2 linked regions of the Struthio camelus genome follow. The protein of the gene in region 1 interacts with the protein of each later gene in a pairwise test. Links are inferred from orthologs where the notes say so. Each region holds a gene or a part of one and is shown in the gene's direction. Other genes may lie near its edges. The genes, in order: WBP11 and C2H5orf22.

The links.
Region 2: the proteins of WBP11 (region 1) and C2H5orf22 interact in binary tests that used the Homo sapiens proteins (3 or more experiments, as listed by UniProt). The two-hybrid records come from large-scale screens. The link is inferred for Struthio camelus from reciprocal best matches to the Homo sapiens genes WBP11 and C5orf22.

The regions. Positions count from the first base shown.
Region 1 is NC_090942.1:54,901,393-54,910,219, forward strand, and holds the start of WBP11 (WW domain-binding protein 11), read left to right. Parts: upstream 1-5,338; 5' UTR 5,339-5,647; intron 5,648-7,255; 5' UTR 7,256-7,313; coding exon 7,314-7,377; intron 7,378-8,218; coding exon 8,219-8,250; intron 8,251-8,817; coding exon 8,818-8,827. Other genes in the region: SMCO3 (single-pass membrane and coiled-coil domain-containing protein 3), read left to right, coding at 1-9. UniProt on the Homo sapiens protein: Activates pre-mRNA splicing. May inhibit PP1 phosphatase activity.
Region 2 is NC_090943.1:91,263,978-91,272,461, forward strand, and holds the start of C2H5orf22 (UPF0489 protein C5orf22 homolog), read left to right. Parts: upstream 1-4,995; 5' UTR 4,996-5,045; coding exon 5,046-5,144; exon of another isoform or gene 5,145-5,148; intron 5,149-5,386; exon of another isoform or gene 5,387-5,543; intron 5,544-7,769; coding exon 7,770-7,915; intron 7,916-8,484. Other genes in the region: DROSHA (ribonuclease 3), read right to left, coding at 236-328, 1,661-2,511.

The DNA.
Region 1 (8,827 bases):
GCTCAATGAATGCTCGCTCCTGCCATGACAGCGACTGCAGCAGCTGCGTCTGCTAAACTTTTTTGATTCATTATGGTAAAATGATTTTTTTTCCCCCACTGTAGAGGTATTTTTTCCTTTCTAGTGGCAACAGAACAAGAGATGTGACAGACAAGGGAACTAGAACATAAATATATCAATAAGGAATTGGCTTAAGGGTACTTCTGCAAGGCAATAGTTCAAATACTTGCCAGCTTTTTTGTTCAGCAGTTTTCTGGAAGGCATTGTAGTTAACAACCCTGAAACATAACTAGTACTAATGACAATAATTTCACTGCTGGAGCAGTAGTGGCTAGAAAGCACAATCTTCTTCTTATTGTGTTTCTACAGCAAAGGTGACATCATGATGGGAGAAAACGATTTCAACAAACAAACCCACATCATCATCTGGAGGGTTCATTGGGAACAGCTGTACTGGCTAAACTTGCTTAGTGTGGATTAGCACTAATTCTGATATGCTGAATTCCCCTTTCACAGAAGTGCTCTTAAGGATTTGCTGAAGCATATTTAACTGCTATTTCCTGTCCTATTCTTGTCCCAAGGGGTCTGCCAGAGATCTTCTTTAAATAAATTCTAATCTTAGTAGATTAGCAGGCAGGAAAATCATGTGCCTGCAGACAAACAAACACGACCCTGCCCCACAACTGAGAGAAATCAGCTCCAGTGAGCTAGGTTCCAGCTGTCTGTGTATAATCTCTTATGCTCAGTAACGCCCTGCTCCTGCCAACCCACAGGTACTTAGTTCTGGGCACGTTTGCTATGCTGTTAGTTGAAATGGGATTATACACGTGTGCAAGTATTTGCAGGATCATAGCTCTAGATCACAGACATGCTGTTGAATTTATTTTCAAGTGCTTCACAAGCCACCTTGTGCCAAGAGCATACTCAAATCCTGCATTTCACAACATGTTAGCAAAAGTCCTTATGCAGTTGATTTTAAAAACAAAAAGCTAGAAGCAAGAACATGATTTGTAGTCTCTTTCTCTGATTTACTGTGGTTTGCTTTTTTGCTTTGTTCTTTGAAGAAAAAAGTTAATTTAAAAATTAATAAAAAAAATTCATCTAAACATTGTAAGAGCTCTCCTACCTGTACTTGTTCTACTTTTTTTGTTCTGTCTCAGACATCAATCTGAAGCCAAATCATATGGTGTACTTACAAAGAAAAAATATTAAAATCTTCATTAAAGATGCAATTTAAAAATTACTATTCCTACCCAGGACAGGTTATTATAGTAGGCCTGTGCATAGGTACAGTTTTAGTACCAGCCTCCCCCACACTAAAAGCATATTCAAATTCACACATGTTTATTAATATTAGCAGTATTAGCAATATTAAATGATGATGATAATAACTAGATTGTGCCTATGAAAGTAAACAGATAGGTGAGTTATAACAGAAAAGCTGTTCATTCTCTTCTTAACCCTTTCATTTTTTCCCCCCATTTTTCCCACTTTTAATCATTTCTTCAGGCCCCTCTTTGCTTTTATTCTCATTTGCAGCCCATGGCTGGTAAGCAGCTCTGGCAGCCATCAGGGAAGAAGCCCTGGCTCGGGAGCTTGGGTGAGTGCCAGCGATGGCACTGCTGGCCTGACAAGTGGGGCAAACACAAGCCGCAGCCTGGGTGAGGTGGGTCTGGAGAGGCAAAAAGCGCTGCCCTGCCTAGGCACAAGGTATTCCGGTGACATGGTGACCTGAAGCCTCTTGTTTCTCTCAGATACAGCTTTTCCTAGCTCCTTGTAAGTGTGGCACTCAGTAGAAACAGGGGGTTATCACTTGCTCAGAGGCAAGACACTGCCAATCAGCAGATCAGTAACATTTTGGGTTTTGGAGAACCAGGAAGTCCCAGCTTGTGCTCTTTTTCGATGGGCATCTGTACATTCTAATTTAGGAAGAAGAAACGCCAGCTCAGTACATACCTTTGTGAAGCTGCCAATCACTGTTGTAGGAGAATATTGGAGTCGAACAAAGGGACATCTATCATATTTCTCAGGCAGTTTGTCCACATTTTCTTTAAAGCAAATTCTAAGCCATGTCGGGCGATGGGCATACGCAACAAAGTACGTAAAGATATACAGTTGCCATCCACCTCCTGGGAGATCCTTGTTGCTGGTGGGCTCAACGGAAAGAGGGGTTCCTTGAGAAAGCAGATGTGGAAGGTGTCCTCATGTCCACAAGATGTTAAAGATGCTGAGGACGTTGGCAGCCCGCAGGCTCCTGCTTATAGAGCAGGAGGCCATGACCTCACAGAGGCCTGGCCAGCATCTCTATGAGCTAGGACAGGGTCGTGACCTCACAGAGGCTACAGCCAGACAAGGCTGTTTCGAGGTAAGAAACCTGCAGATCAGCCTGGAACCTTCCCAAACTCTTTCCCTCAACTCCAGGAATAAGAAATTGTCTGGGATTTGCCTGTATTACTGACAGTTATGTATTCCTTGTCATTAGTTATTGGTTCTTGAACTCAGTGCAGCATGCATTCAACTGGCTAAATGCAAGGCAGAGCGTCCAGCAGAGCAGAAACAGCCTAGCTTGCTCTGTGTCTGATAGGTAACTGAAATACTGCCCCTCAAAATAGGAAATGATTATCTGCTCTCTCTTGCCAGATGCCATAGCCAGTTTGGGGCCAAACTGCTCATGCCTCTACTCTAGACCTGCTGGTGCTACCTCTTGGAGTGACAAAAGTACATTCATGCCAAGTGAAATCTGAGAGGGCTATTGTAATGTGGACACAGGTTGCATGGGAATTACACGGGCTGGACCATATTTCTCCTCTAGTAGCTGTTTGGCAGCATTTCTTACAGGACATCTATATACATGACCAAGTATGTGTTTGGTGTGGATATATCAGGTCCAGAAATTTATCTCCAACAACTGAGTACTTGTGAGTAGGGCACTACACTGCCCATGTGCAACTTTTGTGGCTTTTGACATGGAGCTGCCCTGAACCCAGCTCGTCACTTGAGGTGCTTGGAGATGCCTGTGCTTGACATCCTTTGTAATCTAGCTCCTGCTGAGCTCCAAGTCAGCAAAGACCGCTGGGAGAAATCTAAGTTAGGGCTGCTGCACTAACACATTCCCCCCCCCACCCCTCAGCCCAGTACTGTCATGACAACAGGCCCAGCCCATGAGGAATAGGCAATTTGCAAAGCATTGGTACCTCCCTCTCTAATGATATCGCACTCCTTTCATGTACCGGACAAAGATTTGACGTGCATGGCCATAAGGTTCCCATCACAGCCCCTCAAGCGCTCTCCCTCTGCTCAGTCATTTGTTGTGAACAGAGGATTAAAAATTAAAACTGTATATCATAGTTTTTAAATAAGAACAAGCTCAAAGAAGAAAAGGAACCACAAAGCAGCCCAAAGCAGTGTAAACTGTTTTCACACCTGTGTAGAAACAGTGGATTGCTGCAATCAAAATCTGCCCTGCAGCTAATTCTACGCAGTAACAAGAACAATACAAAAGAACCTGCCCAAAAGGTGTTACGTACATGGTGAGCAGGACTTCCCGGGCACTGGGAGCTCTCAGAACCCTGGCTCTGTAGATGCTGCTGGACTGGCCATCTGCTACCTTAGGTATTGTATAGTTTGTGACTAATATTGGTGTCAACATGATGCTTAGTTCATAGTCTTGCTTTTATCCACCCTGCAGTGATTCTTAGTAATGTTCCAAGTTTGTCAACCAAGTCTTCATCATTTGAAAAGCCCTAACACTGTGGTGTAACACTGCCCGTCCACCCCAACCAGGGGATCCATCACCCATACTGAGAGATCAGACCATCTGTGCAAGCCTCCCCAACTAGCTCCTAGGTGCATCTCTGTGCAGAAAAACGTCCTTCTGACTCTCCCTCCCCTGGGGTGTTAATTCTTTTAGCCTGCACTCACACTATGCTGCTTCCCCCCTTCTTATTCACACTGATACAACTATTAGCCAAGGAGATGTTCCATGTATTTTTTTATCCTGGTCCTTCATGCGTGCTTGTATCTGGGGACTTTTTGAGGAGAGACACTTTGTGCAGTGAAAACAGTTACCGCAGAGTGTCCATCAGCTTCTGCAAAGCTGATCACCAGTTTGCTTTAGGGGCTTTCATGGTGGGGCTGCAGGAAAAGGCAAGCAAGGAGAGTAGCTCCTGTGCTCTCTGCTGGTGGGAAACTAGCTCTCCTAATCTCTTCGTACAGCCCATGTTACCTGGTGAATATCATTCAGCCACTTTTTTGATCCAGCATCCCCTGAAGCAGGAGTTGTCACATGAGTCTAAGAGGCGTGCCATGCATAAACGCTCACAGTGGAGCAGTGTTCACTTCAGGCCGAATACAAAAACAAACCCATGTAACATCCTACTGCAGATGCACTGATCACTAACCCCGCTTCCTGAGTACATCTGGAATTACCACAAACTCCTTTGGGCTTTGCTTCTATTCCCTACAAACAAAGGCTTCTCCCATGACCTGCAATCCTACTTTGTTCCAGGAAAGGGCAACATTTTGTAGGATCTCCCCAAGCAAGCACTGGGGGGAATGCCCTGTTTAGAGTTGGAAGATCCCATTCACCATGTCTGTAACACCTGGATTATTTCCGGCACTGGCAATATTGGCGGAGAAATTATAAGGAGCTGACTGTACCAGAGTTCCCCCCAGAGGTTTACATTTTGTCTTACAGAATTGACGTTCTTCTCCTTCCTAAGACTGGGAAATATTCACTGAACTGCTGAAGATGCTACTCTACCTCTTTTATGGCCATTTCCTTCTAGCATACGAGCTTACCAAGGGAAAAACTGAAACAGATTGAAACATGCCTATTTGTTGCTCAGAGGGAAAATAACCTCTGCCTAGCATCTATTAAACAGTGAAAAAAATCTCATAAAGGCTCAAACTTATATTGCCTTTTCCTCCCAAAGCAGTCAAACCATCATCAGTTTAAACTGTAACCCCAGATGCTACAGCCCGAACATCACACCACCCAGGCTCACTCTGCACACCTTTCCCTACCCTTCTCCTCTCTTTTTTTAACCTCCCAGTTTTTGTAATCCCACTCCACCCCGAGCACCTTCCGTGCCTCCTGCCTCCCCAGTTTTTTCTTTCAGATAATTCCCTGTCAGGGTATGACCTCCTCCCTGAGCTTTCCCTCCCCTCCAGCCGCACAGCCTGCCCTCGCTGCCCCCCCTGGCTCCCAGGGGCAGGGAGAGACCCGCTTCCCCCCGCCCAGAGCTAGAGCGCCTCCCCTGCCTGAGGCCCCTGAGGCAACGGCCGCGCCTAACGGACACCCAGGTCACGTGGCCCCGGGCCCGCGCGCGGCGCACCGAGCCCCGCCCCGCCCCGCCCTCGCGGGGCGGTGCGGGCCTGTCCCCTCCGCCGCGCGACCCCACCCCGCCCGCCCGCCGAACCATAGAGGAAGAGAAGAGGAGCGGAATCATAGAGTCCGAAATGGCGCGCTAGGCTGCTACTTCCGGAGCGCGGTTCTGGGCGGCGCGGCACGGCAGTCGCGCTTTACGGCGGCGCGCCACTCGGTCCCGGTTCAAGATGGCGGCGCGGCCGCAGCAGCGAGAAGCGCGGCCGTTATAGAGGCCGCGGCGGCGGCGGGAGGGAGCCGCGCGGCCCGGCCAGGCGCAGGGTGAGAGGAGCGGCGCTGGGAGGGGAGGTGAAGCGGGCAGGGGAAGGCGGCATAGGGTACTACCCTCTCTTCTCTCCCCCTTCCACCCCCCCCCCCCGATTGGGGGAGGGGGAAGGAGACTGTCGTGTTCCTCATGGGACACTTTCTGCCTCTCTTCCCTAGCGATCAATCAACATAAATTTTCCCCCATCCCCGGGTTATTCTGTGCTCTCTTGACTTGTTGTGTTGAACCTCTTTGGTTTGTGCCCTAAAGGAGTTGGGATCGAGGACTTAAATTTAAGAAGTTTATTATCCTCTCTGTTCCTCTCCTCTATGAATATTAGAAATCTGGGAGGTGCAGCGTGCATGTGCAACTCTACATCTATCTTCTAAGCATTCCTAGCGAAAGAAATGGCAACGTCTTACAAAAAAATCTATCAATGTAATTTTTTTTGTAAGTAGGAAATATGTATTATTGGCGATTACAGATTGTGGGGTGCTGTTGCTCACAATTGGCCTGTTTGCATAGTCTGGTAGTATGAACCGTGAGTTCTGTGCACTTCTGCTAATCAGTGCACTGAGTGCAGTCAGTCCTTGGAGCTTGTTAGGAATCTATTCTGTGAGGTGCTGAAATCCTGAATAAGATTTACGCTTAAATTTCTTTATAGTAGATGAGAGGAGGTACATGAATCAGTAGTGATTTGAAAGTGGCAGCTTTTGCAATGAGAGGAGAAGAACGTGTAGCGCAAGCTGCAGCAAGGGTATCGAGAGCTTTGGACTGAACTTGTGAAGTCTTTCACTGTGTTTGGACACTGCCTGTTTAGGTGCAGTATGGTGACTCCAAAGCTGCATCCTATCAACTCAAAGTTCTCAGAGGATGTTTTAATTTTGGGGGTGGAACCTGCTGTGTATTTTTTTTTGTGGTGGTGTTTTGCGTTGAGGGGGAAGAAAATACAGATTAGAACTGTGAGAAAGGGGGCATGCACAGCTGTAGCTATGACATCCCTGTAGTCATCTGTAAGTTAAAAAACTGTTTGAGGACAGAAAGTAACTCTTCCTAGAATAATTTTTCCTTTCTCTGCCCATCTTAACATAGCTTAAAATGATACTGCTGGATGTATGGAGGTAGACAGCATAAGGGCAGTAACATGGCAGTAGTCTGTAGTGAGGAGAAAGAGATGTGAATGTGTGCAGAATACTTGTTGCTGGATACAGTGTGTACTGAGGAGAGGAATCGTGGACAGCTTAGGAGTGAGGAAAGGAGGAAATTTGCGGGAAGCATATGAAATGGAGAGGATTGGAAAGGGGAAAAACTGGAGAGCTCTTGTGGGAGTAAATGAAAAACGAGGTCTCTGATGTGCTCTTAGAAAAGCATAGTACGTGTGATTTCCCCTCCACCCTTTCCCCAAATGACATAAGCCAGAAGCTTCTTGACTTGACTCTTGAAGTGAATAACAAACTGTGTGATTGTTGATTAAAAATAGGATGATTCTGTTATAAATGCCTGAAGTTGCACTGGGATTTGAAGAGCTGACAAGTATTTGGGGGAGTAACCTACTGATTTGGAGAGGAGGAATAATAATTCTCAAGCTATTGCTGCATAGGATATTAAACTGTTATCTTTTCCAGGTCTCTCTCTCTTTCTTTTTTTTTTTTCTTTTTCGGAGACAGAAGAAAAGAAGTCAAAATGGGGCGGAGATCTACATCATCCACCAAGAGTGGGAAGTTCATGAATCCCACAGATCAGGCCCGTAAGTATCTGTAAAAGCTAAATGGATGTGAATGTGGGGTCCTGGAGTGACAGATTTAAAAACAGAACAAAAAAACCTTTATCTGAGAAGAAAAGTCCTCATATGTGAATATGAACTGATTTCCTCAAATTTCAGAAATATTATCTTCATTTTGGCTGGTATAAAAAAAATTCCCAAGAAAGCTGCTTGCTTGCATGCTGTTGCTGCTGTGCTGTATTTACCTCTTAGCTTTTGCTTTAGTTATAAATATTCTAAAGTCTTTTTACTTAGCTGTCAGCTAAACTGCAAATTTATTGTGGCATGGTTAATCTGTCTGAAGCTAGAATCTGAGGAATGTGTTGAATTTTGTAAATACTCTGGCTGGATGAGGAAATCATCTAATGCTGTTTTTTTCTTCTGGTAATGTGTTTGGCTTGTTATCAACACCAAGCAGATAGGAGTACCCAGACTGCCATTGTGAATATGCTTTATTTCAGATGTGTATTCAAAGCGTATTTTGTTTTAAAGCGCAATTCATTGTCTGTTGTTACAGGCGGCTTCTGGGCAGCAATGCTTTCGTGACTGGAAATATCATTATGACTTGCTGTCTGTAGTTCTTTTCTATATAGAAACAGACAAGGCATGGAGATTTCCAATCTTTTTCTTTCTATATATAAAATTTTATTTCTAGCCTTATTGCTTTCTCAATGGGAAGATGAGATAAAAATGTTTATTTATGTTTTTGTGTAAAGAGTCAGCTGTTGAGAAATAAGGCAGTAATCCTGTTGAGGGAGAGGTTCTTCATGGACGCAATTGTCTCTTTCAAGTTGTTATTTTGTTTTCCTTTTTTCTCCCTCTCTAGGCAAGGAAGCTCGGAAAAGGGAACTAAAGAAGGTAAGTAAAGCAAACAGGAACATTTATTTGGCATCCCCTGTACTGTGCATCATGTTTGTAATAGTAATGGGCCATGACCGATGAGTAGACTGCAGATGTTTCAGTTGATTGTGCAAGATTCACTTTGGAAAATACTATTTAAACAAATACTTGAAGAAAATAGAAATTCGATTTTGAGTAACAGTATCTCTTTAATCTACTATTTAACTTGAGATGACCAAGACTTGAGATGATTAAGACTTTTCAAAGCATTATTGTAAGTTCTTAGAAATTAGAAAAACCTTACATATTTGTTGGTATGTTTTATTGTACCCCTTTGGTTTAACTTGCTGATTATGTGCATCTTAATTGGAGTGAATGAATTATGGAAGCATTTATAAATAGAGTGGAATTAAAACTCCAAGTAGTTTTAATTACCTTTGCAAATACTAGCCACAGTACAATCAAAAGCAAGGCATTTTGAAATGCCTTTTTCTTCAGGCTGGGAGTGTGGAGAGAGAAGTCTGATACAAAGGTTCTGTCTCTTCTGTGACGTTTTTCTCATCTCCTTGATCTCGCTATTCTCAGAACAAAAAGC
Region 2 (8,484 bases), on another chromosome or scaffold:
TAACGCAGGGAAGCCCTCTTACCAGACCAAAAAAAAAAAAAAATCCTGTTTCTAACTCTACAAGGCCTTGATAACAGTGACTTTGAACATATATGGAGATGGTTATATTCCTAAGACTCAAGTTCTTTCTGAGTTTCAGACCAGTCAGATATGCACTTATTATACATGCACAAGTACACACGTGTGCATGCACCGAGCCTCTTAAGCATGTGAAAGACCAAATGTACCACCTTACCTTCCTGTTCTCTTGTAATCCTTTTTGTAGGATCTGTCTGGTGATGGTGATCTTCTGCTATCACGGTGCCTATGCCTCTCCCTCTCCCGCTCCCTTAAGGAATTTAAAACATAGGTTAAATAAGAAATGTGGCATTTCTTACAATTCACACCTGAAAGGAGCACAGAAGCAGGATGAGATCATTTGCCAGTATTGTTCAACATGACACGTGTGCCAACTGCTACACTTAAAGAAGCCTAGAAACTCTTACTGCTGACCTTCAAGAAATTTGGAATAGATAGTCAAAGTGGCTTCATTTCCAGAGACACTAAGTGTAAATCCATGTTTCACATGTGACGTGGCAAACCTCAGATCTTCTACAAATAGACCATGTGATCTAGGTGCACTGGCAAAAATTTAGATTCTTAACTTTCAGGTATCTCATTTTGAAAATCCTGACCTAAATCATTAGTCACAAAGAAAGGCATTGAGAGAGCAAATCAAAGAGATGAGGAAGACAAAACTGGCAATGGTTTGCTCTAAAACACTATGCAGCAAACTGCTCAGGTCAACTCTTGATTCATGAGCTGCTTTTATCTATGAGGCAGAGGGGCAGAAGCTTCATGAGACACCCCAAAATAAGCTGCTCACATTCATCCCTCTGAGTCATAAGAGGATGACAACACAGCCTACAAGTTCTCTGTTCATTTGGACTACTGCATGCTGATTTTCACCTCAGTCCTCTGCAGATCACAGGCTCCTTGCTGAGGTCTTCATCCTCAACAGAATCACACAGGCAGGTCTACACATCCACTGGGACGGAGGTGTCATGAAGCCCACGCACGCTTGCGCAGGTCTCCCATGAAGACATGGATGCAGCGGAATGAAGGACACTCTGCAACATTCTTTTCACTAGAAAACTCATTGCCAGTTTTCAGGAATCAGACTTGTGCATCTATCGGACTGTAAACCCCCCAATGAATGCTGGCTATCTACAAAACGCGGGGCTTACTCAAAGCAGGGCCGTGCCCAAGTAACAAGCCGTATTCCAAGTCTGGTACCCAAATCTCGAACTTTGAAATACTAGGACTTATCCATTTATAAGGCTGAGATTTTGAACGTAGTCTTTTGCATAAACTTGTGCCTACTCTGCTTTCAGAACACAACTGCTTAAGTTTCTGTGGTAAACCCCACTGACAGCAGAGTGCTACTCAACAAGCCACTCCGGGCTCGCTTCCAGCTTCTTCAGTGGACAAGGGGAGCAAGTTTACCTGCCTGCAAAGATGGGGCAGAAACAACGTAGCTGGAAGACCGGAAAAGCCCTGAGCGTTGACTACATCCTAAGCTAGGAGAAAACAACATGGCCGAGGGATGGACACCTGATTCAACCAATCTGTAGAAGGGAGACCACGTCTCGCTCTGCAGGCAGAAGATAGGCCAAGTTACCTGCTACGCTCATAACTTCTATGGTGAGGTGATATTCTTCCTCTGTCATAATCTGTCCGGTGCCGACTGCTTTCTTGCCTCCTCCTGTCTGGACTCCGGCCTCGATCCCGCCGGTCCCCATGGTTATTCGACCGATGCCTGTCACTGTGGAGGTGCCCATGCTCACGATGCCGGTGCTCGTCGTAATGCTTGCTCCTCTCTGGAGACCGTCGATCGCTTTGCGACTTCTCTGCCTGGTACTGACCCGTGTGCCGAAAATGGCTGTTGCCGCCACTGCTGTTGGTAGCGCTGCTCTGGAAAGAGCTGGAATTGTGCTGATAGCTATTGAAGTTCGGAGGGGGGAATGACTGCTGTGAATACCCTGCGGAGTAAACAGGCTGGTAGTTGACTTGCTGCGGTATGACTGGGGGTGGGGGAGGATGCGGTACTGTCGGGGGCGGCATCATGTAAGGAAATGTGTTTTGCCCCGTCGGAGTTCCTGGCACAGGAGTATTGCTAGGATTTGGCACTGGTGGAGGAGCGGGAGGGAAGCACGGAGGCACTGGGAAACCCTGCCTCATCTGATGGTTTGGAAAAGGTGGCCTCATGGGACACTGGCTGATGGGACTCTGTGTGGAAGGGGGCACTGGAGGAGGATACGGCACAAAGTCTGGCCTGGGAGGCATGTAACCAGTGGCTGGAGGGTTTGAATAGGTTGTCGGAGGGGCCGTTTGCTGGTCATACTGGTATTGCACAGAGGGCTGCTGTGGGTGAAGCTGCCGTAGGTTCTGAGGTCGGTAGGTCTGTGTTGAAGTTCGTGCTCCTGGTCCCCCCTGGCCGCGGGGACACCCTCGTCCGGAATGGAAAGACATGGCTCACCTTTAAAGAAGAAAATAAATAAATGTACAGTGTCACAAAGTTTTTCTATGAGGTTCTTTGGAAGTAGTTCCAGGAAATGCACAAAGTGCTTAAATTATGATTTCTGCAGTTTCTTTTAATAGGAGCAGCAGATGACGACCACTGGCTTTCATTGTGAGCTTTGTGCTCCTCAGTGCTGTAGTACAGGTCATTATTCCCCCAAGATTCCCCTAAGTCTCTAATCCACTAATGCACTCTCCTGCCTCTAATCCAGAATCCAGGTGGGACCATACCCTCATGGTCATGGATGCTTTAATATAAAGTCTTCAGACACCCACACCAAAGAGATCGCTCATTTTAACAAAGGTAGGAGTCATCCAAGGTCTTACATCAAGGAGTTCTTCCTAGAACACTATTCTAAACTTCAGGTAGAACAACTTTACTAACATGCCATCGTGAGTTGCCTGGTCCAGTGAAAAAAAATCACATAAATCTTAAACAAGATAATGGGAATTTATATTCACAGTTAAGTCCCAATTTCGTACAGGACTGAATTCAACAGATATTTTAAAGTTAGGTACATAAAAATTTACTGTGACCCACAAAAACGTACGTGGACTGTGGTTTGTTCCAATTTCAATAAACAAACATTTTCAAAATTCCTGAAGTACCTAATTGGCCGTGTTACCTTGCTGGCAATAGGCACTGCTCTAAGCGGGCTGAAGTCTTGCTCAAAAGCATGTGTTGTATGTAATGTACTACGGTATTAAAGTTTAAAAATGAAAACTGCTGTGGCATATTGAAGTTAAAATTAGTTTTTCATTAAAATGTTCAAAATTCAAAAACTGGGAAAAAGGAAAAAATATTTAAAATAAAACATCAACAATGATATGTTGGGTGGAAGGGAGGGAGAGAGGGGGAAAAAAACAGTTGATCCTGCAGCTGCAAATGTCAAATCCTGTTCTCTATAAGAGAGAGACACATAAACACGTATGCGGAAAGATCACCAGACACAGAAAACAAAGCCTCCTTTTTACAGTGGCTTTACCGATGCAGAAGTACACATAGGGAATAGTCTCCCACCTGCTACCCTGTAACCCGGCAAACGTGGGCTGCTCAGAGTACTACTTTTGGCTGCATTCTGGTCCCAGCGCTGCAAAGGATGAAGCTTGCTGACTGATGCCAGACTTCTGCTAGTGAACCGAAGGGAAAAAACGGAAAAGAAATGAAACAGGGGGAAAGGATGCACATTGAGGAAGAGGTACCAGGAGGACCCCAAGTCTCCCGTCCCATGCTCAGGGCTTGGTTGAAGCCACTGGAAGTGGTGGTGGGGCATTTCCTCCCTCGTTTGAGCAAGTGGACAACAAAGGCCAGCAGGATAAGGGCGGATCAACACGTTTCTAGGAGGTAGCAGACATGTAAAGCCACTGACTGATTCCTTCCAGGCAACCCCGGTCTGTTCAGTACCCTCAGGTCTTTTAAAGGGTCTCAAAAAGAAATGACAGGGAAAAAAAAATCTACTCCACACCTTCACGAGTTTGTCTGGCAGCAGCGCTACTTTCTGTCATCCTTAATTCTAGTCCATTAAACGCTGGACCATTTTTCCTCAGGTCAGCAGTTATAACTCACCTAGCGCAGGCTTCTGCCAGTACACTGTTTTGTGCTTTGCTGACATTTACATACAAATTTTATTTAAACAGGCTGAGCCAATCTTTTATCCCCTTGAATGAAGTAAAGGGAAACCCACTGTACTGTACTGTACTGGTGCCTTAACGTAAGGCACGTTTCTTCTTAACACGTGCCAGTGCATTCAAACAAAAGGTCTCCTTTACCAGCTCTCTCCGAGCTTATCTGCACCTTCAGAGGTTTCCTCTGGTTTCTGCGATCACAGTTCAAGCACTTCAGAACGCACCGAAACGCAGAGCCAAAGGCAGCAGGGAAGGCAAAAAAAAAAAAAAAAAAATTATTTCAGGTTATTTTAAAGCTCCCGCTGCTGCAATTTTTCACCGCGTTCAGGTTCGCTTTGAACTTCAGTGGGAAAAAACCGATGACGAGTCATGCCCTTCCTTCCACCCACAAAGAGAAACCCGTTGCGCCACACGGACACGGACACGCGCGGACACCCGCCCCGGCGCAGGGCCGGCGCGACGGGGCCCTGCCCTCAGGGCGGCCCGGGCCGGCACCGCCCGCCGCCTGCCCTCAAACGGCGCCAGTTTCGCCCGCGCGGGAAGGGCAGGTTTACGCACGGCCGGCGATCACCGCAGCGGCAACGACCGCCAGCCGCCGCCGAGCCCCGCGCGGCGCCCCGGCCGCCCCTCGGCCAGCGGGGCTGCGCCATCACAACGGCCCGCGGGGCCACGTCGCCACGGCGGCGGTCGATGCGCTGCTTCGCCCCGGCCCGGGAGGGGCACGCACCCGCGCAGCCCACCTGCTGCCCCGCCGCCGCCGCCGCCGCCGCCCGCGCCGGCTCCGGAAGAGGAAGGCGCGGGGCGGGGCGCCGCGGGCGGAAGCCGCCGCCGCCACCCGGAGGGAGCCGGGCCGCCGTGACATGAGCGGTGGGGGCCGCCCGCCCGGGGAGCGCCCCGCCGGGGCCGGCCGGAGGGCCTACCCGGTGCTGCCGGTGTGGGTGGTGGAGGACCACCAGGATGTGAGTGAGTGCGCGGCGCGCCCGGCCCAGCCCCAGGCCCGTCACTTCAGCGGGTGCAGCCGCCTCCCGGGGCCCCACCACCATCCCCCCCGCCGGGGTCCCGGCCCGGCCCGGCCCGGCCGCCCCTCGGGTAGTAGCGGCAGGGGAGAGGCGGGTCGCGGCCTTTCTCTGGGCCGTGGGTATTTGGGGGGGTTAAAAAAAAAAACAAACCCTTTTCTGTCTTTCTCGGTTTCTTCTTCCAGCCGTGCCCGCTGCCCTGGGGGCGCGAAAACCAGCCTCCTCGGGCCGGTCTGGCTAGTGGCACACGAGTGAAGTTCAGTGTCCAGATGATGTGGAGCCCCGTCGTGATCCAGTGATGCATGTAGCTGGTGCCATTAGGGCAGGCTGGTGGGGTTTTAAGTAGTTATTTCACTCTCTTTCTCTTTTTTTTTTTTTTTCCCCCATGGTTTCTGTGTTTAAAAGAAAATAACACCCACGTTTTACTGCTTCTGGAATTAGCTAGGTCCTAGCGTACTGCTTAGAAACTCAGGCCTACGCAACGTATGAGGCACACTCTAACCAGCACATTGACTGTCAGTAGCTGAGAGATGTCAAATTTGGTGCTTTATATTATTTGTTTGCTTGTTTTTAATGATAGCTAGTTTAAAAAGGCAATCCTTTGCAAAGGATTGCTTTTGAAGTGCTGTTTCTGGTTTCTCAGAGAGTTTCTTTATTATAGCACAAGTTGAGGCTGTAATCCAAAGTAAGCAAATTCTTTACCCAAAGGCACAAAAGCCCACTAATTTCAGCAAGCATTTCTGGGGCATAAAGAACTGGTGGAGAAAAAAATGAAAAGCATTAACTCTATTGCTGTTTTGCAAAAGCACTAGCGTGATACAGTTTATTAAGGGAAACGTTATTCTGAACTTGAAAGTAGATAATTTAATGAGGATTATTTTTGCCAAGACTCGCTGAAATGGTTGATGCTGTGGTGGCTGGTTTTCTGCAGTAACCACGGACTAAGAGTGTCACTGTAATAGAAGTACTGAGATAATGTCTGTTAATAATTCTTCTTTATTTTGCTTTCAGTACTTCTCTTTTGAATTAGGTTAACAAAGACTCTTCCTACCAAATATATATGCTGTACTTTCAATATATGTATGTATATACATTGATCTGTCTTATATAAAACGTGTATAGGCTTTTACCTCAAAGCGTAAGAACTTCCCAGAAACTATGTATAGTCCAGATGAATTACTGACGTTGAAGTTTCTCTGGGGGTAGATGACACTAGAGGCACCATGCTTTGATTAATAATAACAGCTAGCGGGAAGGGAATTTTGTTCTCAACCCAAAGCAGCAGAACTTGCAATGTAAGGGACTCTAGGCTTTTGTCTCCTCCCTCATCCTGCTCTGTTTTCAGAATTTGCGCTAACACTTCCATGAGATTAAACTAATTTCACCTGTCAACATTGTAGGTTGTACAGGTAGGCCATTTGCCTTTTGTGAAGAACTGGAAATCATAGATCAGAGAATCACTGTTATTTTCAACCTTATTTTTATCTATTATTACAGTAGGATATATATCATTGCATAAGTAGTGGGAAAACTGAGAATTTATAGCCGGTCTGGTGAAATACAATCCAAATTTCAACTAAGTGTCAGATTTTATGGTTATGTACACTCACTATTCAGGATTTGTGATCTTAATCAGTTTTATGCTTAAAAAGTAGCTCAGTTTGCATTTAAATACAGAGATCCCGTGTAGCTTATATTGCCCAGTCTTTTTATAGTTTTCATGCTCCCTGTATAGTAGCGATCTGGTTCACAATTCTTGCTAGATTTGTTCTGGCAGCTAAGGCAGTTACCGGCCTGTAACTGTGGGAGAAGCTCCGTCTACTGCAGCTCAGTGTAAGAAGGATCGTGAATTAGCCTTCAGTTGTCTCATCCCACTTGACAGTATTGCACATCAGTGCTTTGTTATGCCGTAAATTGACACATCTACCCATCTGCTTTTCTCACTTTTAAGTGGGCAGCTGGGGAAGGTAGTCTTTTCATTGCAGCCGCTAAGTCCTGCAGGGATTGGGAATTAAACTTTTTCTCCAGAGGAATAGGTTTAAAGATCAGCTAAAGCTTAAATGGTAGCCGGGTCAGTTTTCACCCTGTATCAGTTAACATTTTGTTAGTGGGGCTTCAGAAGTTTGTATCTCCGCAGCCCCATGCATAGGTTGTGGCTAAGCTTTATAGCATGGAAAAGGAAGTGTAGGGGGTAATCTTCAGCGGAAGAGAGACGGCATTTCTGGGGATCAGTTGAAAAGAAAAAAACTAGGCAGTGTATTAAATTATTAATCAGAAGAGCTACTACAAACAAGACTTCCTATAAGGAAGAAAAGAAAGAGTAAAGCTATGATTCTGCAGCAACTGGCCATGTATGAAACTCTTGGGTTCATAGTGATTCACGGTTCTTCGGCTGTCTTGCTGTTGGAGTGGTATCCCTTTGTTTTCAGTCTCCTTCTCCTTCTCCCAAGAAATAATCCAAATTCAAAAGAAGCAAAGAGGAGAGGGGCTGGTATTTTTGCTATTAACGTCATTGCGTTTTTCAGCTTGCTGGTTATAACTGAAATATTTTTGTTCGTATTGTTTTAGGTTCTGCCTTTCATCTATCGCGCCATTGGTTCAAAGCACCTTCCTGCCAGTAACATCAGCTTTGTTCATCTTGACTCCCATCCAGACCTCCTTATTCCCGTAAATATGCCAGCAGACACCGTATTTGACAAAGAAGCTCTTTTTAGGTAAAGTCCTGTGTACTGCATCAGAATACCTGAAGTCCACTTCTTGCTACCTTTGATTTACAGTCCGTATTCGTTTAACTTTTCATACAGCAGGTGTAAAGCAGCCCCAAGTTGTGTCTTCCATCCTTTCACTTTTGCTGAACACTTTGGTTTTTTTGTGGGGAGGAAGTTATGTGTGTGCTTTATGAGTGTGGTCAAATATTTATGTTGCATATCAAGAAAACCTGAGACTTGCGAATTTACTTTTAGTTGTTTAGTAGTATGTCGTGTTATTAGGCCAGGTTATTTCTCTGGATAACAGGACAGTACTCCTAAGTGCTGATCCTTTTGATCTGAAGAGCTGTAGGTTTAGAACAGCCTTTCTGTCCTCAGTCTGAAAAATCTGCTTTGAGGTTGCAATAGCATCATCTGTGGTGACATGCTGAATGTGTGAAGTTGAACAAGATTTTCTCATTAATATCATGAGGACCAATATTTTACCCCAACTTCTGAAGAAGGTAACAAGGCACAGAGTGACCTTTATTGTCTTTCTCTTCCCATTTTAAAATGACTCTTGACTACTTCAGTAT